Linked DNA regions of Nothobranchius furzeri. The protein of the gene in region 1 interacts with the protein of each later gene in a biochemical or structural test. Links are inferred from orthologs where the notes say so. Each region holds a gene or a part of one and is shown on either strand. Other genes may lie near its edges.

Region 1 (4,105 bases):
TGTCCGTGGAACCATCTGCAGAGTTAAAGCTTTGTTTCAGTTCTGCATCAGAGTTAAGCAGGTAAGACTGTTGTGGCACAAAAGCCAAGTTGTTATGGAGAAAATCTACAGTCTGTCTTCTTTAGAAATGCGATTTTGTTCAGAAACTTTGATTTATTATAAAATAAATCATTTTTTATTTGTACTAAAATGCGCTCATGCTCAAACCCCAAATAACAGTGTTGTGAAAAGACCAACAAGGCACTCATATTCAATAACTACTACAGAGGAGCATTTGTCATTATTAGACGACAGATAATAAAAACCTTGAAATCTGATTATATGTTGGCTCTCTCAGTCTTCTGAGATGAAAAGTGTCCAATCTAAAATCAGATTTAGGAGTGGTTCATTCATTTAAATGTTTGCTGAACCCTGAAGGACAACAATATTATAATTTTCTTCAAAGGAACATAAAGAAAAAAGTATTACAGCCCCAAATTACAATGTTGGACCGGAGGATTGTTTGTATTTGAAGCATCCCTCTGTCCCTCAAAAACCCACAACAAACCAGGAGATAATTACAGCACGGCTGAAAAAAACTAAATAAAATCAGAAATCACAAACTTCATTCTCACATACATGTGGTCTCAGTTTTAATAAACGCCGACTCCAGGAAGCCTAAATGCCTTCCCCTCCTGTCGGCTCAGGGGTCCTCTGAACTAAAAGGAATGAATATAAGTGAACGGGACTATATAAGGTATTTTTGGTCCGCTTTGCCTTCCTATGTGTATTTTCTGGCTTTCAGTTATTTTCTTCACTTTACAATCCCAGAAGGTACAAATCAGATATGCTAACAAAAACACCATGACTGGTTCCAAATCAGTAAGGAATTCTCTCTCTTTTCCTCCTCTGAGGCTGCATGTAAACATCGCAGCTCTCTGTCTAAAGCCAAAAGAACCAGAAACATTGCCCCAGTCATTGGTTTCAGTGTGTGTGTTAGCATGATCACTGCAATGAAACACAGTAAAGATGGACCAGACAGAAACTCCATCTGACACTTTAAAGCAAGGGTCCTCAACTACATGTGTTCAAGTGCCAGATGCTCTTCCTAAATACAGTTCAAGTATTATTGTATCCTAATTTGTTAATATTTAAAATTTGTTTTCCATCTAAACTGCTTTGATTGTATTTTTGTGTTTGGAGAACGTAAACCATTATTGATATTTGGGACATGAATTTTGCTGCTAAACTTCAAAAGAAAGAAACAAAACAATTGTTTATAAAGCACCTCAAGATAAAAATCATGAAGCACTTCACAAAAACAAAAAAATGAAAATGAAATGAAAAGAAAGATAAAAAAAATGATTAAAAAAGTCCCCCAATTGGGGGGCATTAGGGCCCAAAGGGCTAGGGGGAGAGGTGTGATGGACCAGATGTGGCCCGCTGGCCACCAGTTGAGGTTCACTGCTTTAGAGTGTTTTGTTGACAGATTTGGGCAGATTTCGCACACACACAACAGAACATAGATAATTATTCAGTCTGGAACCCAGAAACAACATCTGTGGCGTGTCAACATCTGCTGCTGGTCCTCCGTGAAATCACAACCATCACAACAGACTGCTGTAGCCAAGTCCAAACAGCACATGCACGATTCCTCTTTTTATATATTACTGCATCATTATACTAAAGTAATGAAATGTAAGATTTAAAATACATTTTTGTTCTTTGCATCTCTCATTGAATTTTTGGATTCATGCCCAAGAAACCGCTTTTTTAACTTGAAAACAAATGAAGGAAAGAATTGTTTGATAGAATTTTAACAAAAATCGTGATTCAGATTTTATCAGAAGCCTCTTGCACCACACGGGCGAGTGTTTCAGCTCGATGTTTTTACTTTTGTCACTTTACTTTCTAAAAATCACCAAGCATTGCATAAAAATGCACATTCAAGTAGAATCATGGACATGAGCTCATACCTCTCCGACGTGGGGTCTGCACAGTTGAGTGGATACTTGAGCTCGATGACGTCTCCATTTTTCTCTTTCAGCTGCCCATGATGCTCCATGTAATACTGCACCAGCTCTGCAAGAGTGGCAAACTTCTCCCCACCGTAGAGGTCGTAGTAGTCCCCTGTATTTTGAATCTTAATGTGGGTGACAGCTCCATTTCGCCTAAACACAAGACCAAATAAGGGAACAGAATCAGACAGGTGTAAGAGCTCATCAGCAGAATCCAACAAGAAGTCTGCGGCTCATAAAAAATCCTGTCAGCGCAGATCGCTGTAGAAAAGTAATCCCTAAAATATTCCAACAGTCTAGTCCAGCTGCATCTTCAAAAACAACGATGAAAGAAATCACGTTTCTAGCAGATTAAAAGTCCACATGGTGTGTTTTTATAAGCCAAACTACTGAGCTTGAGCTAAATCAGTGGTCAACATTATGGCAGAATTGAAGATGAATGCGTGAACGTTTCAAAATCCCAAAAAAGCCAGTGTTTACAACTTTACAACCATAATGAACCAATTCCTTCTTACATGCTGAAACTAGACAAGATCTATTTAGCAATAGCAGCTAATTCTTAGAGAGTGTAATCCTGTGTTCCTGCAGAAATACGGAAATGTCTGAGCTGATTTCTGAGTTAGCAGAAACAACAGGCTAAAGCCGGGAAGGGTCATTTACACAATCATTAATATGGCATTGGGTTAAGATGTAGAGGTTCGTGAGCCGTTTAAAGCTACAGAGGGTTCATTCTCATCAAGAGGAAACTAGTAAATGTTACCAGACATGAAAAAGTCTTGTAATCAACACCAGGAGATAAAGTATAGCAGGGTAGAAATATGTGAGGGTTAAATAACTGTCACTAAAACATAATGCTGCAATTTCAATACCCCCTTATAAAGCAGAAAACCAGATATGAGCATTTATTATACAATAGCAGGAATATTCAGCTCTGTATCCCGAGTCCTTTCTGTGCAGAGTGTAACAGAATCAGATGTTGTCTCTACAGAATAACTCCACTGTTGTATGTCACTGATGAAGAATAGATCTGAAAGACAAAACTGTGTTTCATTTAGCTATTCAAACCAGACAGACAACCAACTACTGAGTCACACATGATCACCATTATCTCAGAAATAGAAAAGAAGAACTTGTGGCAGAGCTGGACCTGAGCAGATTTTAACGGCCTCACGGGGAATTCTGCAGTGAAGGAGATGTGCTGGTTAGAACCAGCAACAACTGGTTTCCCCATGGAAATGTCTGCTTTTGTCTCTGTGTGAAGTGCATACTGAGTACGACGGGAGACCGTACTGTTAGAATATGAAACTGCAGCAAAAATAACTTTGTCTACATCAGCCAAATTGACTTAATGACACTTCCTCTCACAAACGTATGACTCGACAGGCCCAGAGATAAAACCAGCTACTTTATTTTCATTAGTTACATTTTGGCTATCGCTTGGATAATGTTGGCGGTCTCGCTACATTCAAAACTACGAATCAAGCAGAATTGGATGCAAGTTATTTCCATTTTGGTGTAAAACACTCCCACAGCAACAGGCACGGTCAAAGTTTGACCTGATATAAACATTATTAAAGAGTCACTTATTTGCACATCCAGAACATACTGAGCAAGCCATCATTTCTTTCAAGTCATATTTGTGCTGGTGTAAGGCTAAGTCTGATGTTTGTTCTCTGAGTTGCTCTGCATCACATGCACATCAGAGGTCATCAGCCTGAACATCTGTCTGTTGCATCTGGACAAAAGACTAAAGCCTCATTTACACCAAGTGTGGAACAGATGCAGATCAGAACTAGAGGTCGACTAATATTAGCTCATCTATTGCCAATAGCGATGCCTATATGTAAAGGTCGTGGTCAGCCGATGGCCGATGTGCTGATGATTTTCATGGCTGATATCTGGGCATTTCCACCTTACTTTCATGCTGAAATGGCACTAAAACATCAGTTGATGCACAACATTTCTGAAACCAATTCAGGTTTTGAACACTGAATTTAACTAACTGGTAAATCTTAATTTATGCACTGCTCAGAGTGAAAATCAGACATCTAACTGAAGTTAATCAAACAAATCAGTCAACTGACCAAGTATTAAATGTTCAAAACTGG
Region 2 (4,895 bases), on another chromosome or scaffold:
CAAGTTCTGAACTACTCAGACCAGTCTGACACCAGCATCATCTTGTTTCTCTTCCATTCAGAATTTCAAGTTTAAACTTTTTAGGTATTGGTTTACAAGCACCTGAACAGGTGGAGCTAAGGAAAACAATCAGATCATTTAACATTGTGCCTTTAATAGAAAACAGACCCATAGGGCTTCTTACAAAAATACTTAACGTATAAATGATACATTAAAACATTTCCACATCAGCCATTCGCTGCAGTTCTGTTTGAGCCAACAGAAAAACTACAGAACCATCACAGAAATGTTGCCTGAGACAACTGGAGCTGATGTTCTAGAAGGTGCTTTCATCAGGTCTGAGTTGCTGAATCTCTGTTTTTCCAGCAAAAAAAAAAAAAAAAAAAAAAAAAAAAAAACTGCCAATGGCAAATCTCAGAAGTAGGTTCCTGGAAACTGGAAAATAAAAGTCATTCCAACATAAAAATATTGTTCAGAGACAACCTGGTCAGCAGACGTGGAGAAAGTACAAAGTGCTACAGGAAACATGAAGAAATGGCTTCAAACATCTGGAAACATCACTCAGCATTAGAGTTCTGTAATCTTCAGGAGAATGTTGTTCCTACACCTCAACGAAACAGCAGCTCCTTAAGTCCTGACTGGAATGATTCATGAAGACATCTCAGCAGGTTGGATCCAACTCAAATGCCTCTTGGGCCTGTGGACAGGCTCTGGAAGTGATGGCTTCAGGACTCCGACCCAAACAGCTCCAGGAGGGAGATTCTGCATCAGCATGGAAGACGAAGCATGGTAACAGGCAAGTGCATTTCTGTTCAACTCTCCATCCAACATCCCATCCCATCTGGAGTTTGGACCTTCAGCTTTTTGGAAGCGCTTTAGAAGAACAATCGGAGAGGTGGACAACCCCTCCAGGATTCGGGACTTTTAGCAGACAGGAAGCATCTGAGCATTCCCCTTGTACTCCTCAGCCTGAAAAACAAAAAAACCTTGAGATGTAATGCCACATGTAGCTTGGTGCTAGCCATGGAGCTAACTGGTGTGAGACCTACCTCAGAGTAGGCTGGAGGGGATGGGAACTGGAAGCTGGGAGCGTTCATAAAGATGGGACTGTCATCACAGTCCACATCATCTAGAAGAGGCGTGAGCGGCTGGTCCAGACGGCAGTCTTTAGTGATGTCACAGTAGCTCGGGGGTTCAGCGGGCATCCTGAGGGACACCCAGCTCTGAGAGGCAGTGCTGATCGAACCCTCCTGGCTGCTCACACTGTTAGTGCGACTGCCAATCCCAGATGTCCCAATGACCAGGGGCAGCTCCAGGATAAGCTTTTCACTGCCGGGGATGTGGATGTAAATCTGGGAAACAATGAGGAACCTTAACACCATGTTCCAGGGCTAACAGAGTCCTCCCATAGGAAGCAGACTTACCATCAGGGCGTACTCCACTCGGATGATGTTGCAGCCCAGCATGGACGGTTTGATCTTCGGCACCCTGATGGTCTTCCCCTGCCAGGCGTCGCACATCCCTGAGATGATGTGGTTTCCACGCACAGAGGAAAGCTTCTGGCGGAAAACTTTGGTGCGCCCGTTAGCCTGGTATGTGTGCTTGGCTATGATGGCGGCTTTCGGGACCACAATGCGGGAGCATGTGTTCTCAAATTTGGCGTTGATGCAGATGTCTTCACCCTCGCAGAAACCACGGCGGTCAATTTTAGCGTTGAGCGACACCTGGCCATCAGGGATGAACATGCAGGTGACTTTCTTCTCCTTCATGCCGCCAGCAGGAGACTGAAGACACAGGAAGCAGTTTGTCATCACCAGAACTGTGGTGGTGTGTAAAAAGGAGCTGCTGATTGGAACCAGTCATCATGCATGATTGTCTGTTACTGAAATAAAACCATCTGCCTCTCTGGGAGCAGCTTCTGAGTCCACTTCTAAACTTCCTGCATACGCCGGTCACGTGATACCTCTTATCTACTGTATCATGGTGGAACCACGCGCGCACACGCACAGGGAAACAGTGGGGTGTTTCCCATGTAAACAGAAGATCCGAAGTGAAACCAGATCGCTCTGGTTCTGACCCACTAGTGAACTCACCAGCAGGTCCGGAGTGTTCACATCCAGAGGTTCTTCCACCTCGAAGTACTTCTTGCTCTCCACCGTGGGCTGCTGAGGTCTCTCCATCTGGGCCTTGACATAGTACTGGACGTAACCGAACTTGCCCTTGTATGACGACACCAGCTGACTGAAAGTCCAGAACGAACACAGCAGACCTGTTAAAACCCAAGGCATTACCTCTAGAGGTCAGTGATGCGTCCTAGACCCAGATGGACTGGGTCCGACTTACCCCTGCTCAGGAAGGTCGAACCCAAACGGGTACTCATACTTGTTACCGGGTCTCAGAACTACGGATCCGTCCGAGTCTGAAAGATACACAGACGGTTGTGATCAGCATGTTGCTGTGATGATGCCCCAGAGAGAATCCCCGGACCCCATGTACCTGCGGGCTGGTCGCCCAGACTCAGAACCTCCTCGTACCGAAGGTACTCGGCCTCCTGGCGGCACCGCTGCTTGCCTTTAGCGTACTCCACCTTCGCGCAGCCCAGACCCAGCAGCTTGACGGCGGACACACGGGTCACCTCGGACACCTCCACCTCGACCCGACCGCTGACCCGGTCCCCGCCGCAGTAAAACGATTTGCACGGGTCCGACAGGACGACCTGGAAGGTTTTCACTTTTTTCGTCATTGCCACCATGTTTGCGTTCTGTTTCCAACTCGCGCAGCAATGTGAGCTTTTCGCGTTACAACGCCCGAAAGTTAGACAGCTATCCCCTCCTAAACCGCTCCCTGTTCTCTGCTGTAAACAAAGACTCTGACCGTTTTATACCAGCAGCGCGTGCAGAGCATGTGCAGCTGGGACGTCCGCTGTGACTCAGCGCGTGCACATGGCTCCGATTGGTCGAAATCCTTTGTTTGTCTCGCCTCCAGCCAATCAGCAGAAGAATTCAGCGCGTGAACACTGCATGGCAGTGAGGCTGCAGCGCGTGCTGAGCTGATGTGAGCACGAAGTTTGAGACAGAAACAGAAATGCTCCTCAGTTAGTAAACAGCTCGGAACAGGCACAATACTGGGGAATAAGAGTCAATATTAAAGGATATCATTCCTGATCCGCTGCACCTGCCGCTCCAGTTCGGCTTAGACAATATTGTTAGAAAACATTTTTAGTATAAAGGACATTATAGCTGAAGGAAAAACGGTTTCAAAATTACAAAATATGAGCAGATGGTTGAAAAAGCAGATAGATGGACAGTAATGCTGTGATGTAGATAACGTCCTGAACAGCCTCTGTTCAGAAAAATAGTTCAGGAGCAGTGGCGGTCACAGGGAGCGCTGGGGTGCCACCCTACCAGTCTCACAGGGAGATGAAGAAGAAGATAGAAATCCTAACATACTTTTAAAACACCCTGAAAATTCCATGAAATGATCTATAATTATACAGAGTATAAGTGCTCTGTTTATTCTGCATTTAAGTGTGGTTTAAAAATGTCCTCTGGAGGCTGATTCATGCTTCTCCGTCAGCTCCGCAAGGGACAGACACACACGGATTGACGGAAGTGTTTTGCTCTCATACTTCTTCGTCTCCTGGGAAGTGTTGCAAAGCAATTCCCCGTCAGGACAACAGAGGGCGTAGCGCTGTTCTGTGGTATCCTGTCATGTATCCAGTCCAACATAGTGTGTTTATATTGTGTTTTTTGTAAATAAGAGACTTTTTAACACGACAAATTTGTCTCTCATTCTCCTCCACCTCTTCATGCGCTCGCCACCTCTAAACCCACGTTTCCTGTCATTTCCGTCCACAAATAAAATGCTTGCTGCGTAACTTTTCACTCCTCCAGTCACGGGGCAATTAAACGTTCATATTTTAGAGTTTTTTCGCGAGGTATTCTTCAAGCTTCTCCGTGTCTGCCACTAGTTATTCTCGGCTTTCTTTATGATTTTGAGGGCGCAATGGCGGCGGTGTAGACGACAGTGGTGCCCTGACCAATCACAAGCTTGCGTTCTCCGTCTCGTTTGACGTATGTTTAAAAAAGTTGGCTCGACTCCGTACGTACTTGCGTGCCTGCCGGGGCCCTACGCAAGGACGGATAATGACGTTGCGTGTCTCCGCACTGACGCAGAAGGAGAAGCATGAATCAGCCTTTAGTCTTACCACGACCGAAAGGTCGTGTGATGCATTTCCTGTTTCTTTGGGGAGCAGAAATCTTTAAAATAGACTTATGGTAGTTGGGGCATGCACACTGGATCCCCCTCTTACACAAAGAATTTTTTGCGACTGAAGCACGCGCAGAAGACAAGAAGCTCTCCACAGTCCACCTCTGGCTAAGTGGCTGTGCTAATGCTGGTGCATTGTTGGGTTCCCCCTGCCTCATTGGGGCCTGACACAGATCAAGCCAGGATTCATACAGGTCATGGGCATTTTTAGCCCATTTTGGAGGGAGCTGAGGCACCCCTAAATTAAATCAATGCACCCCTAAAATTTGAGAATATGAAACATTTATTTTTACCATGTGTTTGAAAAATATAAAAAGCATATAGTGCTTGGTTGAAACATTATATTTCAACCACAAAAATGCAGCAAACCTCCCCCTCCTCAAAAGTGGTTTGATCCTGCTCACCTTTGACCACAGTCACCAATTCTTGTCATGTGTCTTTGCCTATGTATGTGTGACAGTGTGTGTCCTGTCACAGTGTCCCGATTGATCATGCACCCTGGCTACTTGGCCAAGGGGATGTCCCTTTGGCTGACTGGTTAGAGCGTATGACTCTCACCCGGGAGTCTGGGGATCGAATCCCGCCCGGGCCCTCGTTTATCCACCTTGCCACATGTGGCGTTGTTG
Region 3 (4,105 bases), on another chromosome or scaffold:
CCACCAAGACACACACACACACACACGCACACACACACACACACACACACACACACACACACACACACACACACACACACACACACACACACACACACACACACACACACACACACACACACACACACACACACACACACACACACACACGTTTTAGAGTTGAACAGCAACAAGGTGGCTAAAGATGTTTCCTCAGCTGATTAGAAGGATTCATCCTTCCATAAACTCCTCCAGGTCTCCCTTCACCTGTCCTCCTCCTGATTTACCTGCGACAGGTAAGCTTCTGACACACTCAGACAAGGCAGTCAGACAGTTCCCTTCACCATCTAAATGCTGAACACGACTGTTCTCAGAAATGCATCAAAGCCTTCAGAGCAGCTGCAAACCAGAAAAGTTGCAAAAACTGACGGTCATTTGAGCTCTAATGCAGACCAAGTTCTTCCAAACATCTGGACCAAATCCAGAGCAACCCCAGTGTCTACAGACAGGAAGTGGTCAGGGCTATGGTCAGGGACTCAGCCTCTTAGGGTCTGATCTGTTTGACCACAACATATTTGATGAAACCAAACCCTAAAGTCACCAGACAGGCACCGTACAACTCCCCAGTACACTAGTGGCCCCATCAGCCTTAGCTACAGCTTCTAAGCTCGACTCTCCCATATTCCCGTCTGAACTGACAGAGCTCCTTGGACGAGAAGTGAAACCAAAGAAATCCAGTTGCCTTCATTAAACCCATTTTGGATCATTTTGAGTTGTTGCATTTATTGGAAAAAGAACCTTAACATAAGGATTTTAATTTAAATAAGTTTTGAACATGAAAAGTAATCAAATACTTTTTGGATTCATCTGTTCTGCAGTTCATCTGGTATGCGAGATTGTCATTCAGACATGTATAAACAGGAAAAGAACATATTGCAATAAGTATCATCACCACATGAGCTTCAGAAATGAGGGCGATAGAGATTTTAGGCCACATCGCCCATTCCTAGAGTTAACAACTCAAAAACATCCTAAAATTCTAATTAGCATGGGGTAATGTGGGTAACCAGCAGGTCTTAGCTTAGATACCAAGTCCAACAAACGCTCAGCAGACACGGGGGCCATCAACACAAGAGCAGGTCAGCCCACTAACTCCATCACAGCGCTAACGTGCCCCTGGTTGGTCTAAGCCACAGGTGTCAACTCCAGCCGTCCAGGGCCGGTGTCCTGCATCTTTTTGTTGTTTCCCTGTTCCAACACAGTCGATCCACCTGTGCAGCAGCTCATCAAGCTCTCCAGAAGCCTGCTAATCACCTGTTGGTTGGAATCAGGTGTGTTGAAACAGGAAAACACTACAACAGGTGGGAGAGCGGCCCTCGAGGACCAGAGTTTTGGGCCATTCCCATCTGTACCGGGTCGGCCCGGGCCAGGTAGCCCCAGTCGGCCCCAGCCTGGCCCGGTTGATTCCACACATCCTTGTCTTAAGCCCATGTGGGCTGATTCTACCCACCAATCAGAGGCTTGCTCTAATGGAAGGTGTGAATTTGCTGTCAGCAGTGGGTGTGTTGGCCCTGGTCGGCCTGAAGCAGACCCCCTCGAGAAGAGGGCTGAGAATGAGCCTTGGTTGGCCCGGAAAAATACCAGGCCACCCAGATATGTAAACAACCTACGCTACCCGGCCCGGGCCGACCCGGTACAGATGGGAATGGCCCATTTGACACCTGTGGAGAGACGACAGTCTGGGGCTGAACCAGGAGGTCTAATGGGACAACGTGGAGTTGACTTCAACACCTGACAGACGAGGAAGAGGGAAAACACATCCAAAGGCCGCAAACACACGAGTCACTGAGACTGTAGGGTGCACAAAACCAACACACATATTGATCCCTGTGTATCCACAGCACAATCAATACTGATCAGCTGATCAGCCTACCCATCTGAGACTTACCAATACCACCCCAACCCTGAGCAGACCATGGTCCAGACAGCATGCATGAGAAACATTAGACACAGAGCAACTTTAGCCAAATGCCACCACATTTCCTACCTTACCTGTTGGTTTTACCTGAGGCTGAACAGGAAGTTGATGAACTAGTCCAGAGGTTCTGGCTGCTTTCTGACTATAGATATCTTACAAGTACTGATCCAACTTAGTTCAATGAGATCAGAAAAAAATGGTGGGTGCCACCTCTGACTGCAGAGGGCCACAAAGGTTATTGTGGCCCAGAAGCACCTTTCTGGGTTAGGGCTGTCACTCTCTAAGAGCTCGTCGTTAAGCCACACCCTTGCTGAGCAGCTACGTGGCGTTTTCAGTATTAAAATGCCCCATCGCTGACAGGCGTGAGCTGATTGGTTAGCATGGCCAGTGTGGAGCAGGTTACTCGGATAGGCATGTGTACCTTGGCCTGTCTGGCAGCGCCGGCCACTCTCAAATGAGAACAGGTTGGAGTCATAGCCGTAACGTCGCAGACACAGGTATGGCCACCTGACATCATCGCGGCGATGGGTGTGAAGGACGAGTTCTGATTCGGTCAGCTCCATGACACCTGAGCCCAGCTCGTTTCCATCATCGTCAACATTAATCACCTGGAAGCAAACACAGTCACATTTTTCCTCTTAATAATGACACAGATTCTTTACTCGCTTTAACGAGCGCTGTCTCTCCATCCTGGACAACATCTGTCCTGTCAGAGCCCGATCAGCTCCTGCAGTGAACCCTACTTTCTGGTTTAACTTCAGCCTGAAGCAACAGTGCAGAAAAGTTGAGCGCTTGTGGAAGAAAACCCGTCTCCACGTCCATCTGCTGCATCTAAAGGACCTTCTGACCTCCTTTAACTCTGCAGTCAGAGACGTGAGGGTTGCCTATTTCTCCATCCTGGTGTCCCAGAGCAAAGGGAACCCCAAGGTGCCGTTTATGTAGTAAGAAATCACAATGTAGCCATGGAAGCGCTACTTGGGATATAAGTTGTTAGTGTGTGTGTGCCTGCGAACTTCTCCATCCCTAGTGAGTTGTGGCGGATGGCTGCTTATTGCTAGGTTTCACATGACGTTACCTAGATGTCACCAAATGCAGATGGGGGTCCGGAAGTGGCAGGCACTGCACAAAATGCTGTTTACTTTGATAACTGGGCATTAAAATGCCCAAATCCTATGAGGTCTACGGTTAATATAATCACTAAGGCTCCTCCCCTTCCGGTCGGCTCATGGGTCCCCGGAGGAACGAAAAAATGAATGCAAGTCAATGGGGATAAAAGCCATCTCCTAACCCGCTCTGCCTTACGCCCTGGATCACACAAGTTGTACGTCTATTTAAGTGAAAAGTAATGATGATGTTTCGACCACGCCAGTCACGTACTGTGAGATTTATCAGCTGGTAAAAGTTTGTAATTAGCATGACTACACACCAGATGTCGGTATGTCGCATATATGACGTCACCACAGAATCTCCTCCCCCTAGCGTAGCTGCTACTTACCACATGACCTGATTTATGGTGGCTGTTTCCTTCTGAAGAAAGGACTAGTGATGCACCGATTAGTGATGCACCGATATTACATTTTTGGATATATTAAGATATTAATATATATTAAGATATTAAGATCACTGGTGTGGCCGATAACCGATACTCATGATACAGATATTCTGACATTAATGCTTCTAAAATAAGCAGATTTTGTATAGAATGAAATAATTTAAGCTGAATTTATGTTATTACGCACGCACGCACGCACGCACGCACACGCACACACGCACACACACACACACACACGCTTCTGAGATGATTTCATTCACATCACCACCCCCACCCTCTGAAACAGGCAAACAAATTGAGACGAGATGGAAAAAATATCGGTTGTTAATATGGGCCCGGTTTGATTTATCGAACCAATACCGATATGTTAAAAACCCGACTAACATCGGCAGATATTGATACCGATATATTGTCCATCCCTACAAAGGACAGTTTGCTGAACTTACGGCCATTTTCTCTGTGTCTGGTTTGATGACGTCACTTTTGTGAAACGCATTTGCAGTCCTTGACTTATTTTCACACAAAACCTAAAATAGCGTTTCCCCCTGTTCAAAAATAAGCATGTTTTTGGTATCAAAATGTTTTTAAAATTCACT
Region 4 (4,105 bases), on another chromosome or scaffold:
TCATGTGACATAGCTTTCCTCAATATTTGAAAACTTAAACTTCACACACAACGGGTGTTTTTAATACACATTAAATGTGAAACATTTCTGACTTCTTTCGCCCAAAAATTCTGAGTTAAGTGTGTACAGCAGGGGGATTCAATCCCGGGCCTGGGCGGCCGGTATCCAGCATGTTTAGGTTTTAACGCTGCTTCAACACACCTGATTTTAATTAGTAGGCGATTAACAGGCTTCTGCAAAGCCTGATGAGCTGCTGCGTAGGTAATTCAACCACTGACTCTAGTGGGTTGGACTAGAGAAACCACTACAACGTGCTGGAATTGAATAGCCCTGGTGTACACCCTCCAGTTCACCTGAAATTCCTTTTTTTTTTTAAGTTTTATTTTTTATTAAAAACTGTATCTCTTACATAAAACTCAGACACAAACATTAATAAATGTACGACCATCACACTCTTCCGCCTCTCATTGATCACGACCGTTTTGAAGATGGTCAATAGTTTATGCACAGCAACTATTAGTTTGAGGTTTAACTTTAGGGTATCACAAGACTGTGGTTACCTTGGCAACGCAAATGAGCCACAGGCAGCAGCTTTAACATTTCTTTTGATTTTGGTTCTCTTTACGCTCCTTCAACTGCTGTCGGTGTTTGTAGAAACAGGTTGCCGTATATTTCAATTTTAGACATTAGCTGCAAAATTTTGCTGGAAAACGTATTCAGATGTGTTTTAGTTGTGTTACAAGACTCTTACTGTCATTGGCGCTGAAGTATTCAGGGTTTGGAGATGTGATGAGATCTCCTAATGGACCATCACTTTGCCTGCAACACAACCACAGGAAAAAAAATAAATCTGAGATGCTGTAAATGATCTCACGACACAACAGCACACTTGATGATGATGTCACATCTCACCTCTTCTTGATAACCAAAATGACACCAGCAGCCAGGAACAGCAGCAGAATGAGCAAGATGATCGGGCCGATCACAATCCAAGCTAAACCCGGATCAGCTGCAGTAAACAAAGAGTCAGTTCAGCTGGAGAACGGCAGAGTTTCACAGTGGAAAAAGATAAATTAGGTACAAAATGTAATAATAAACTTGTGAAATAGACTTGAACCAGGTTGTAGCCTGTGGGTTATTAGAGGAGGCATATTGGGACTTTTTTATTAGGTTCTAATAGTTCTATTGTCAGTGTAAAATATGTTTATGAAGCTCTTTGTAAAAAAAATCCCTCTCACATAGAGCCATATCAGCGGTTTTAATTCTGATAAGTTTCATAACTTCCAGAATGAGCCTTTTCAGGGCTCTGTCACTTTAAGAAAACAAGCTGCAGACCGGCCACGCCCACCAGTCACCCACTCAGGATGCTATTGGCTGCTCCTCCAGCAGCAGCTCTTTCTTGCACATGAGAAACTGTTCTATTCTACTTTCCCCATTTGTGATATCACAAACAGGGACCTTTTGAAACGGATTGTTTTAGGCAAATAATTCCTAAAACTAAACATTTTCCCCATGTTAGGATTTTTTATAAAGACAGTAGAGACCCACATGGCAGCACAAAAAGATGCAAAAAGTGTTATGTCCCCTTTAACAAATGCAAACAAATACCAAAAGTTTAGTTAAGTTAGAGATGGAGTCTCCAGTCTTACGATTAGGCATGAAGAAGTACGTCGTTTCTGTAAAAGAGCCGTTTCCTGCCAGCGACGTAGCCCGAACCCTCACGCTGTAGTTTCCAGGGTGAACAAGGTGGAGCTTGGTCCCGCTCATGTTGACGTAAGCCGGCCGTGACACACAAACTGTGTGAACCTGGAAGAACGTATGAAAAACACAGTTTAGCATCAGTGAGGGCGACAGGAAAAGCAGCTACTTCACCCAAACCATAAAAATGGATTTAGCAAAGAGAATATGGAAATGGTCATTTAGCAAAATATGCTGAACATGTACGCAGCTTTAAAAACACCAATAGGTGAGAAGGAAATGCTTCACTGAATTTCAATAATTCTCTTGACCTATGAGGTAGAAAATTTTTTTGTGACTATCTAGTCTGACTTCTGCTGTTCACCCGAGTCACTTGTTTGGTTTCTTTTATACTAGTCAGAAAAACAGCTTGGTTTTATAGTTGATGGAGAAGTTGGTAGAATTTATAGTAAATGGACACATTTTTTTTGCCCATCCAGTGATATTTTTTTTAATAATCATAATTATACCAATAATAACCTAAATGAAAAATGCATCGGTTGTTTGAAAGAGCTAAAGTTTGCAATGCTTTCAGAGTAGTGCAGTGGAGATGCACCTCCATCACTGCTGCATTAGAGCCTTCTGCTTCTGTTACTATAGCAACAGAGTTGCTGATGGTGGTGCAGCAATGAATAGCAGTGAGATTATTTACACATTTGCTGCAAGTAAACAACAACACTGAACACACATGCTGTTGCACACACAGTCAAAGTTCAACACGGACACACCCACCCACTAGAAAGCGTTAGTGTGTACACAAAAACAAGTTTACATAGTAATAGAAACAATCACCAATTGTCTTATGGTACATTCTTAAAAATAGGAGACAAACAATTGCCACACAACATCAAAATTGTCAGCTGACCCTTTCAGACCATGTCTGATCCTCTCCAGGTCCAAATGATTCATAATTTCTCCAATAAAGTGGTTGAGGCCGAGCATCTTTCCACTCGGACAGGATGGCTCACAAATAGCATAAAGCTATTATGTGCTGTTGGCTACCATCTGCTGTATCGTCCACTGTGACCACCACAAACAGAGCAGTCAAGGGGTCAGGGTGCACAGTGGTCGCACAAATCCTAGAGAGTTCATCAAAATTGGGCCTCCAATATCCCTGTCGTGTCAGGCAGGTCCAGAACAAGTTGGGTCTAAGTCTGGCTTCATTATTGCAGTCTGTCTTTGGACCAAAGCAAATGGTGCACCACTTTGAGCTAAATAATACTGTGTCTCACGTCTTGTGCCAGGCCTTTTCTGACAATCCAACACCCAGGTCCAGCTCCCATTTCTGTTTTGAAACGTCCGGACTGATCCGATGGTGTGAGCTGAGCCAGGCGTCACCTTTACTCAAAACCTTAGATGTCCGGCAGTCCAAGATCTCATCGAGTAGAGTCCGAGATGAGCACAGGAAGGCATTCAGAATGAGATTTGACAAAGTTTCTCAGTTACGGCCACAGCCATTTGTTTTTCTTTTGGTGCATGCTCCTCTTTCCCTTCTGATTTCATCCTTGTGCTGAGAGGCGCTATTCTACAACAGCTGTCTCATCCCACTCTACCTCGCTCCGCCCTAAAGCACCCAGTTCACAATCGGCCTAAAACACGCCTGGACCCACCCTCAGCGAGGAGCAAACGGAGACATCTGTCTCTGGCCTGCTGTCTCCTCAGCATGCTTTGTATCCTTTTTTGTAGTCGGTATGTGTTTTGTGTGTTTTATCCAAATTATCGAAGGTGGGGGAGTCCTTAATTAGATGTGTGTGTAGTGTAGTTTTAATCTGCGTTGTTTGGGTAAAGGTTTATGCCTGACGTCAGGAGCACTCCATGTTACCGTGTTGTTGACACGTACCTCTGTGTCTCCGACCTTCTTGTAGAAAACCTCGTAAAGGATGATGAGTCCATTGGGTGATCGAGGCGCGTTCCACTTAATCAACACGTAGGGAGGTTCAGCGACCACAACATCGTGAGTCACAGGACCTGGGATATCGTCTGCTTTTTCTGCCAGAGCCACACAAAGACAGAAACATTTGAGCAAACTGATCTCTACCTAGCATTTTGCACCCGTGATGATGGTATACTTTGTGTTTTTTTATGTGACCAATGCACAAGCGGGTGTCATTTGATCAAAATCAAACTAAAAGTAAATCTGTATGTTTAGATGAAGCAAAAATAGTTTGATATCTCACCTTCTGGCATCGTTCGGGCACTGACGTAAGTCGCCAGGCTGCAGCGTTTGGGGTCTTCAGGGTGGTTGCAGGCCATGATCTCGATGGTGTAGCTGGTGAAATGGTGCAAGTTGGATATGACTGCTGACTCCTTAGAGGTAACATTCAGCTCCACCTGAGCAGGAAAATTATGGGATGGGATTCAAAATATA

The links.
Region 2: the proteins of ptpn11a (region 1) and txnipa are reported together in a solved structure, tested with the Homo sapiens proteins (2 studies listed by BioGRID, with this or other methods). The link is inferred for Nothobranchius furzeri from reciprocal best matches to the Homo sapiens genes PTPN11 and TXNIP.
Region 3: the proteins of ptpn11a (region 1) and fibroblast growth factor receptor substrate 2 interact in a test that uses a peptide from one of them, tested with the Homo sapiens proteins (2 studies listed by BioGRID, with this or other methods). The link is inferred for Nothobranchius furzeri from reciprocal best matches to the Homo sapiens genes PTPN11 and FRS2.
Region 4: the proteins of ptpn11a (region 1) and insrb form a complex in vitro, tested with the Homo sapiens proteins (2 studies listed by BioGRID). The link is inferred for Nothobranchius furzeri from reciprocal best matches to the Homo sapiens genes PTPN11 and INSR.

Annotation. Positions count from the first base shown.
Region 1 is NC_091746.1:40,337,325-40,341,429, forward strand, and holds part of ptpn11a (tyrosine-protein phosphatase non-receptor type 11), read right to left. Parts: intron 2,151-4,105; coding exon 1,956-2,150; intron 16-1,955; coding exon 1-15. UniProt on the Homo sapiens protein: Acts downstream of various receptor and cytoplasmic protein tyrosine kinases to participate in the signal transduction from the cell surface to the nucleus. Positively regulates MAPK signal transduction pathway. Dephosphorylates GAB1, ARHGAP35 and EGFR.
Region 2 is NC_091751.1:26,063,831-26,068,725, forward strand, and holds txnipa (thioredoxin interacting protein a), read right to left. Parts: upstream 2,937-4,895; 5' UTR 2,753-2,936; coding exon 2,497-2,752; intron 2,420-2,496; coding exon 2,344-2,419; intron 2,242-2,343; coding exon 2,094-2,241; intron 1,785-2,093; coding exon 1,425-1,784; intron 1,353-1,424; coding exon 1,050-1,352; intron 970-1,049; coding exon 925-969; 3' UTR 367-924; downstream 1-366. UniProt on the Homo sapiens protein: May act as an oxidative stress mediator by inhibiting thioredoxin activity or by limiting its bioavailability.
Region 3 is NC_091744.1:79,870,566-79,874,670, forward strand, and holds part of fibroblast growth factor receptor substrate 2, read right to left. Parts: intron 2,566-4,105; coding exon 2,379-2,565; intron 1-2,378. UniProt on the Homo sapiens protein: Adapter protein that links activated FGR and NGF receptors to downstream signaling pathways.
Region 4 is NC_091748.1:58,179,838-58,183,942, reverse strand, and holds part of insrb (insulin receptor b), read right to left. Parts: intron 4,069-4,105; coding exon 3,915-4,068; intron 3,727-3,914; coding exon 3,578-3,726; intron 1,807-3,577; coding exon 1,650-1,806; intron 1,010-1,649; coding exon 913-1,009; intron 820-912; coding exon 752-819; intron 1-751. UniProt on the Homo sapiens protein: Receptor tyrosine kinase which mediates the pleiotropic actions of insulin.